2 linked regions of the Kluyveromyces lactis genome follow. The protein of the gene in region 1 purifies or fractionates together with the protein of each later gene. This does not show direct contact. Links are inferred from orthologs where the notes say so. Each region holds a gene or a part of one and is shown in the gene's direction. Other genes may lie near its edges.

Evidence for each region. Proteins that work in one complex are often made in the same cells at the same time.
Region 2: the proteins of RRP45 (region 1) and LRP1 purify together in Saccharomyces cerevisiae (affinity purification with mass spectrometry; 4 studies listed by BioGRID). This does not show direct contact. The link is inferred for Kluyveromyces lactis from reciprocal best matches to the Saccharomyces cerevisiae genes RRP45 and LRP1.

The regions. Positions count from the first base shown.
Region 1 is NC_006039.1:951,846-956,534, forward strand, and holds RRP45 (exosome non-catalytic core subunit RRP45), read left to right. Parts: upstream 1-2,211; coding exon 2,212-3,129; downstream 3,130-4,689. Other genes in the region: DDE1 (Dde1p), read right to left, coding at 1-448; RNH202 (Rnh202p), read left to right, coding at 857-1,870; KLLA0_C11121g (uncharacterized protein), read right to left, coding at 3,354-3,731; KLLA0_C11143g (HAD family hydrolase), read left to right, coding at 4,629-4,689. UniProt on the Saccharomyces cerevisiae protein: Non-catalytic component of the RNA exosome complex which has 3'->5' exoribonuclease activity and participates in a multitude of cellular RNA processing and degradation events.
Region 2 is NC_006041.1:1,509,136-1,513,017, forward strand, and holds LRP1 (Lrp1p), read left to right. Parts: upstream 1-2,467; coding exon 2,468-3,001; downstream 3,002-3,882. Other genes in the region: PEX3 (Pex3p), read right to left, coding at 1-1,055; KLLA0_E16985g (uncharacterized protein), read right to left, coding at 1,500-2,018; DNA protein crosslink repair co-factor UBX5, read left to right, coding at 3,260-3,882. UniProt on the Saccharomyces cerevisiae protein: Required for exosome-dependent processing of pre-rRNA and small nucleolar RNA (snRNA) precursors. Involved in processing of 35S pre-rRNA at the A0, A1 and A2 sites. Required for activity of RRP6 in 7S pre-rRNA processing.

The DNA.
Region 1 (4,689 bases):
CGCCGACTGAAAATCCCATTGATGAGTCAATTGACGTAGCTATTCCAATCTTCTTAGCACCTATACTTTCAACTTTAACCACAATTCGTTTTGCTATACCATTTATTCTTGTAAGGGTAGTTTCTTCGGTATGGAATTGCAATACAGTCGACTTGCCATTTGTCATAATTGCAGACCATAAATCACCAAAATTACCATTCCTGAGCCTATATCCTAAGCTTAGGTTTAAACCTGTAGTCAATGGAAAAGAAGCTGGGACTAATAGGTTTCTGTAAATAGCAGTTTCATGTTCCTTTCTTACGGACTCAACATTTGATTGTGCGTTCAGCGAAATTGTATGTAGATCTCTTTTGGAGTCAATAATAACCGAATTGATAAACCAAACAGTACTAGCGACGATTACCAAGATAGCAACCAAGTATTTTGAGAAGGTGATCCAGTCCACCATCTTTTGGGAGTGAGTTTACCAACAGCTGTTATTTTATGTAATTACGCGCCGTGCATTTTACTTTGCGTAAACTTCTTCAGTAATTTCAAGTTCCGATATGAATCAGTGTATATATATATATATAATATTTCAGATCCATAAACGAGGAAGAATTGTCAGTTAAACAAAAGTGAAATCTCATAACAAAGCAAATTACATGCCCCTTCCTTTTTGTAGCTGTTCGCTGTATTAAGTGTGCAATAGATTCAGAACGACAGCCGCAGCACACAATTGCGTACATTCATCCAATACTTGGTATATTCCACTGACATTTACAACATTTAACGTGAACGAAACGCGTAAAAAGCATTGTTAACTATCCTAATTAACGATCAAACAACAATCCCCAGCTACATTTCCTTAGTGAATATGACTGTTGAGAAGGTAATAAGGAAAGGATGTCTATTGGTAGCTTTGCCAAATTCAGTGGATTCTCCTGTCGAAATATTTGAACTTCCACATCCATCGAATAACGAATCAAAGAAACCTATCAAACTGTTTGTACACGACGATAAAGTATACCAGCTTAAAATCAAAAAGTTCAGTAAAGGCTGTGACTATAATTGCTCGCGAGATTTAGTGAATGATAAATATCATTATACTTCAGATTCGCAAACATTTAAATCCACATTTTTGATCAATGAAGAGAACAGGAAAGATGGACACATACTAGAAGATGGTTCGATACTATATGCCGAAAAATATGACTTAACTTTTAATATATGTGGGTATTATTATAGGAACAACAAAGTTACTAGTGAGGATCTAGCGTTTATTACACCTTGCGTTCCACCCGCACTCGATATGGATACTAACTTTTATACTAGTTCTGATTACCAAGAGAAATTAACGAATAATCACAGTGAAAATTGGGAGAAGATACCTCCAAAATTATGGGAAAGTTGTCTCGGGAAAATATCACATACAGTGGAAGAAGCTGGTGACAAGTATTATCGTATCGAACCTCAAATGATAGTAGAATGGCTACTGAAGAAAGTCATCAAAATCAACAACAACTTCCCTACTTCTCTTAAAATACCAAAATCGCTACCTGAAGATATAGCATCATCTCTGAAATGCATAATGTCGTGTAATCTTCTAGTTTCCTTGATCCCACAACTCGCATACCAGGATCTAATTAGACATGAATCTTCAAATCTTAACATCAAACAATGTTTCGACTCATACGACAAGTACAAGAACGAAACATTACAAACAGAAAGGGAAAGAGAGCTCCTTATCAAAGCTGCTATGTCTACAGCCATTCCAAATGGCACAAAAACCGTAAAGAAACAACCTATTCAAAAGGCTAAAGTTGTGAAACCAAAGGTTGCTAAGGGTAAAGGAAGAATTGACGGATTCTTCAAAACTAACAAAACATAAGTAAGGGCATATAATAATTTCGTAGAAATATCAGTATTGGATAACCTCTATCATTTTGACCTAAAGCTTCACATAACATGCCGTTGTTGAGCTCTAAAATAATTGATCTTCTTCCACTTAATACCTGTCTACAGGGTCTTCCTCCTAGAGAAACTCGCATCAATTTTGTTTTTATTCCTTTTTCATCTTTCTATCATATCAAATGAGACAAAGCTTATGAAAGATTTAGAACTATAACACTTGAAAAGTTAAAGAGTTGCGATGAGCAGCACTGAAAGAGAAAACCATAGCCGAAGAGAGCTTGCATTCGCATATCAAAATAGTTAAATCGATAAGAGGTGATGGCAAAAGATATAGAGATCAGTAATGCTGAATCCAAATTTATCCTGGAAGCGTTAAAGCTTAAACAAAGATTAGATGGACGTTCATATGACCAATTCAGAGATGTGAAGATCGAAATAGGTGAAGCATACGGTGATGTGACTGTTACCATGGGTAACACAAAGGTACACTGTCGTATCAGCTGTGAAATTGCACAACCTTATGAAGATAGACCGTTTGAAGGACTTTTCCATATAAGTACCGAAACTACACCGATGGCAGGTGCTCAGTTTGAGAATGGGAACAATACTGGAGAAGAAGAGGTATTGATCAGTAGGATGATTGAGAAAGCTGTAAGACGATCAGGAGCATTAGATGTAGAAGGTTTATGCATAATAGCTGGCTCCAAATGTTGGTCTCTTAGAGCTGATGTTCACTTTTTAGATTGTGATGGTGGACTAATCGATGCCAGTTGCATTGCTGTAATGGCTGGGTTACTTCATTTTAAGAAGCCCGACGTTACTGTTCTTGGTGAAAGAGTGACGGTACATCCGATTGATGAAAGAGAACCTGTGTCACTAGGTGTTTTGCATGTTCCAATTTGTGTGACGTTTTCATTCTTCAATCCAGACGATACAGAAGAAAATATCAAAGGTGAGGACAATGCAGAAATATCAATCATCGATGCTTCCTTAAAAGAGGAGCTATTGAGAGATGGTGTGCTTACTGTGACGCTTAATAAAAACAGAGAAGTTGTTCAAATCTCCAAAGCAGGTGGTTTGCCGATGGAAGCTTTGTCGTTGATTGATTGTTGTCATAAAGCATACGGAATTGTAGAAAAAATCACTGATCAAATTCATCGTGTTGTGAAACAAGATACCATTGCAAGAAACCAATACGCACACATTTTGAGCTCTGAAAATGCTCGTGAAACTTAAGGAGCATTGTATCGAAGAACTGGAAGCTTTTCTTCAATTATAGATTAATGCTTATGGTTGTACCATATCCCAAGACACTTGGCAGCTAGAAGTCGTTTAATCCATGCCGTTCAGCGCGTTTGATATTGTTCTGTACTATATGTTGTATGTATGAATATACAAATAATGTATCTGTTTGGTGGATATATGAGAGTGTATGCTGTGAATATCTTAGCGATAGTGAATCAAATATAAAGTCTGGTCATGTCTCTTTCTGTTGAGGAAGTCACTGATTCTTCCCGAGCGTTAAACTTTACAATATGTATTAAATTTGGATATCTGTTCAAGTCGTTCTTTTCAAATTCGAATCCGTTTCGTGAATTAAGTTCGGGATACAAATCTCGTTCATCCAACATCATCATGTGTTTGTCAATAGAAATTTGTGTCTCTGGTGCAGAATTCAAGTACCGCTCTTCTGCCGCCAAAATGTTCTTCGAATTAGCCCAGTATGTTACTGTACAGTATATTATGAATAATAGCACGATACTAACAACAACAAATAGAATGTAGTAGCCGCATATGTACAATATTGGATTATTCCGTTGATCCCATAAATGTGACATTATAATCAATTCACCACAAATATGTCCCAAAATCCATCAATTCGAATAAAGCCTTGAGTGTTTGGAAATTCAACTCCAGTGATCAGGAAGAGTTAATACAATCTGGTATTAGTTGGTATGTACTTTTCACATCGGGTTCTACTTACCTGAATTTAATAATTTATCGATTTATTGTGACACATGACAGAGGTCGGTGATATAGAATATATTGTTCTTAAAGAAACGAGAAAACAAGTTGAAACGGACTGATGTATGACTTTTACTGCAATGAATAGGGGCAAGTTGCGAATACCTATCAATTCGATCATAACCTAGTATATATTGAAAAGTAGTCTCTGGCCAAACCTGTTAGGGATGTCATGTCTTGTCAAGTCAGAGGGACTTTTCAAGGCTACTAAATTTGATATCTCTGCACTAACAAAACCCAAAATATGGAAGAGACGTCTATCTGCTAAAATTGGGGGAATAACCATTAAATGGATGATGAGCTTGAGCCTTAGCTAATTGGCAGGGAAGTTTCCCCGCCGTTCCAATGTCCTTAACAAATTTTGTTGTTATAGTTATTTTATTTCCGTATAACGTGGTTTGATTGTAAAAAGCAACAAGCTGTTCATGCTTAGGGTAAGCTAATACCTGGAGAAAGGGCACAGGGCAGAATTCAGTTGGCTTTTAAAGTTGACACGTCTCCCCCCATTTCAAAGGTGGATTCTTCTCCATTAGTATAAATATCAAGTATGTATCCAGATATACATTCCTCTTCTCCTATTCTAATGGTCAACATATGTCAGCAGGGTTCCTTAATTTCATTAGTAGGGTGCTTAAAAGAGAAGTAAATTGTATCAATTTGACACATATAATATCCTTCGTAAACAGTTGAACAAGCAAATCTCTGTAATAATGCCTTCTATTGCTGTTGACTACGTTCTTTTCGACTTAGATGGCACATTGGTGAGTTCCA
Region 2 (3,882 bases), on another chromosome or scaffold:
TGAAGAACAAATCTCTCTAAGTTAGGTTCAGGAAGTAGACATGAAATGAACATTTCATTCGATTGTGGCTGTTGAAAGAATTGCTTGTTTGTGGTGACGAATATCTTGCTTATCTTGCCACTGAACTCATCCATTGTCATGATATCTCTTGGGTTCGAATTTTGGAACTCTTCTTTCACCAATTGTTCAATGATACTCTTGTATTGTAGGTATCCACGGTTTAATAACCACCACGATAAGGATAAGAAAGCTTGTTCGTTAACGTATCTCGATTTTTCAGGGTTCGCAGTGGATGCAATGCTCCTTGTGTCCGTGTCAATAGTACCATCGCTGTTTCTTGGGTCAGCTTTTTCACTGGGTAAATTGTTGCTCTTTTCAGTGATCCAACTAGAGAACCAAGATAAGACTGAGTATTGATTAGCCTTCTTTTCCCTTTCCTTTTCCATGGCAGAATTGATGGCAGTATCCAAATACTCTCTTCTTGCCAATATATTCAATTGCAATCGGGTTAAAAGCATCAATAATGATGTGGTATAGGACAAGATAATGATCTTGGTGATAGCTTTGAGTTTCAAATCGTCCCAAAGCTCGGCCTTGGATTTCGTAGACGTTTCAGAAACGCTAGTGGTATCTGCAGATTGCGGAGATTTCGCTGACACACTGGGTGCAGGCGTCATCGCACTCATTCCTGAACTTAAGCCCTCATTTTCCAACTCATTCCCAGCTATTTCACCTTTGGAAAGCTTCTTCTGTAACTTTTTCCCCTTTAGAGCCTCTACAATAGAATCAAGATCGAAATCCTTAGCCAACACTAACGTCATTACCGGCATCAATTCATAAAGAGTGTACAACGAGTCCTGCTGAGTTTGTACAAACCTCCGTTTGATCTGTTCCTTGACAAATCGTTGCTCCGTCATTTTCAAATGCTGCTTGTACAACCATCTTTTACTGAAATAGACCGTAATAGCGCATGTAGCAAATAGCGTAGCAAACAAAACACTAGAAACAACGAACTTCTTTCTGTGTCTCTGAACCAGAGATCGATTCCCAGTCATGATGAGGGGTAAAAAAATAACTTATAACTTAGAGCAATGTAATTCTTCTATTGATTTTCCACTACAGCCGTTGTCAGATTGCGTGTAGAGCTTTCCTAGTGTCGTTGTTTGTCTTGATACTTTATTGATGTTGATGTTTACTTGCTAGTTAGTTATTTTAATGTTTTTCGAATTTTGTTTCCCCCTCAAAGAGCGACAAATTCGACAGATTTAAGAGAAAACATATACCAAAGAGATAGAATTGCGTTGGGTATTGAACCTCTATGGTTCTGCAACTGGTGCCAACAGATATTTTATAGTGTATCATTACAGCTTTATCTTTTACTATACATATTATATGTGTATATGTGTATAATTGGTCAAAAACGTTCGCATGACTCAAATAAAAGATGGATCATATATGTGATGTGTCGAATCTCAAACGAAAACGAAGATTACATCCACCTATTGGCGTTGCATCTCAGTGAGACGTTTAAGATTGGCCAAGTTCTCCAGGATCTGGCCATCTGAGATCATAATTGGGGTTTGCGTATCGTTGCGGAAGTAATCTTCTGCACTTGTATGTGCTAAAGGTGGACAGAGTCTGAATGAACCAGACCGATCCATTTGATGTTGGAAGGGGGAATTTTCCGAATAGAACGCAGTTCTATCGAGTTTGACTTTGAGATGGTTCTGCTGTTCGTCGTTCCCGTTCTTTTGGTATAGGTTCTGTAGAAGCGGTTGCGGTGGCTGTATTCCAGCCTGAAGCGATGATGACTCGTGGTTCAATAGGAAGGATACGTTCATCTGTTTAGAGTTCCGCTGCAAAAGCTGATCCATTTCTGTGACGACTTTCTGCAAATTTGATGCCAAGGTTGACCATGATTCTGCATCGCTTGGCGAGAGCGAGTGTGCTTGCTCACGATATTTCTCACGAACCTGTCGTAGCTGTGTCTCTATATTCGATAAGTCATCAGCGACCATTATCTATGCTGACGAGAAACAAACTAAAGTACTTCTTGAGCTAGGCCAGTGTTGAAATTAAGTATACTGGCGGAGGGTGGATGTTACTTCAACAGTCCAAATAGGACTACTCGCCCTGTATTGAGTACAGGTTCTCCATATATGTGGTATGAATGTGTGTAATGTCTTGCGTTTTTTTTTTTTTTTTTGGCAGGCAAATATGGAATTTTCGCTGGATAAAGAAATAGAAATATTACTGAAGTACTTCTACGTGCGAAACGCACGCAGATTATTATGCGTTTTGTTCCATTGCGAAAAATTCGCAGTATTATGTTATTGATCGAAAATTTTGATTCAGTGAAGAATACTTCATCTCGGTATTATACAGCTTCATCTCATCTCATCTCATCTCATCTCATCGCTGCCTCAGTCGACAACGACAAGAACACGGACCACATACAACTACCAGCATGGAAGATACTAAGAAAATTAAACCATACATCTCGTATCTCAATAAACAGGTGGAACAACTCAGTGGTGAGATTAACAAACTAACGAGCAAGTCATTGGACGAACAACTGTTGCTTCTGCAAGATGAAAAGAAGAAACTTGATCTTTCAAACAAATACGCATATGTATTGAGTTCACTATGCTTTTCATACATGAAAGTCCTCAATATCAAAGACCTGTCACCTATCATGGCCGAATTGGCAAGGTGTAAGTCATATATGGATAAATCTAAACAGTTAGAAGCTAAGAAAGAATCTGAAGAGAAGGATGAGGTGGAGCAAGAAGAACAAGCAAAAAGAGTTCTACAATCTGCGTTGGGAGGTGGCAAAATGGAACCTGCTATCAGTAAAGTCAACTTTCAGGGGAAACATACTAAGTTTTCGACAGAGGCTTCCACCACCAGCACTGATAAGGATGGACTGGCAAATCGAGTAGTAGACGGAACAAAGAAATCAAAACAGCAAAAACAATCTGGTAAAGTATCGAAGAAATAATTCATCTGAAATATGTCCTGGCATGTTCATCCATGTATTCCTGGGTCTTATTCTGGCATTCTATATTAATAATTAGCATCGCATTTTTCACTGACATAACAAGTTGTATAGTATAAATACACTAAAATTGGGAAACAAAAAGAAGGAAATTCCAGTTGGCAAACGTGAACAAGAATTAACCAAAGATACAGGTTTCAAGTGGCAACAGAGAGTTACAGAGACCAGTAAAAGGATTAAAAGAAGTACATTTCAATAGCCATGATATCTGACGAGGATATTTCAACTTTCCAAGGTGTTTGCGGTACAGATAACGATGAATTGTCAAGACATTTCCTTGAGATGGCCGGAGGCAATTTGGAAACAGCCATCTCGTTATTCTTTGAACATGGTGGTGAGAGACAGTTGAACAGCAATTCTGGTAATAATAATGCCGGTGCTGGTGCTGGTGCTAATACAGGGGGTTCTGGCGGTCTGAGTGGCGACGTAGAGTTTGCTGAAGAATTACAAAGACAAGCGTATCAGGATGAAGATCAATATAGGGCTCCGGATCAGGCAAGACACGAGACATTGGTGGAGACAAATGTGTTTCCTAGTGTTTATGGTGGTATTGGAGGTTCTTTTGAACCATTGCGTAATGCCAGGGATATGTTTGACAATTCAAGACCTTCAGGAATTTTTAATCAACAATTAGACACAGACCTACTACGTTCTGGTAGATCTAACAACTACCATCGGGATGACGATGATGACGATAGTGATTCTGCGTTTACTGATGAAGAAAATTATCCCAGTAATGAGGATGAGTACGAATACGTAGAAGAAAACGTCGTGGAAATAGACGACGATGGTGAACTACGGGAATATACGAAATGGGTTAAGAA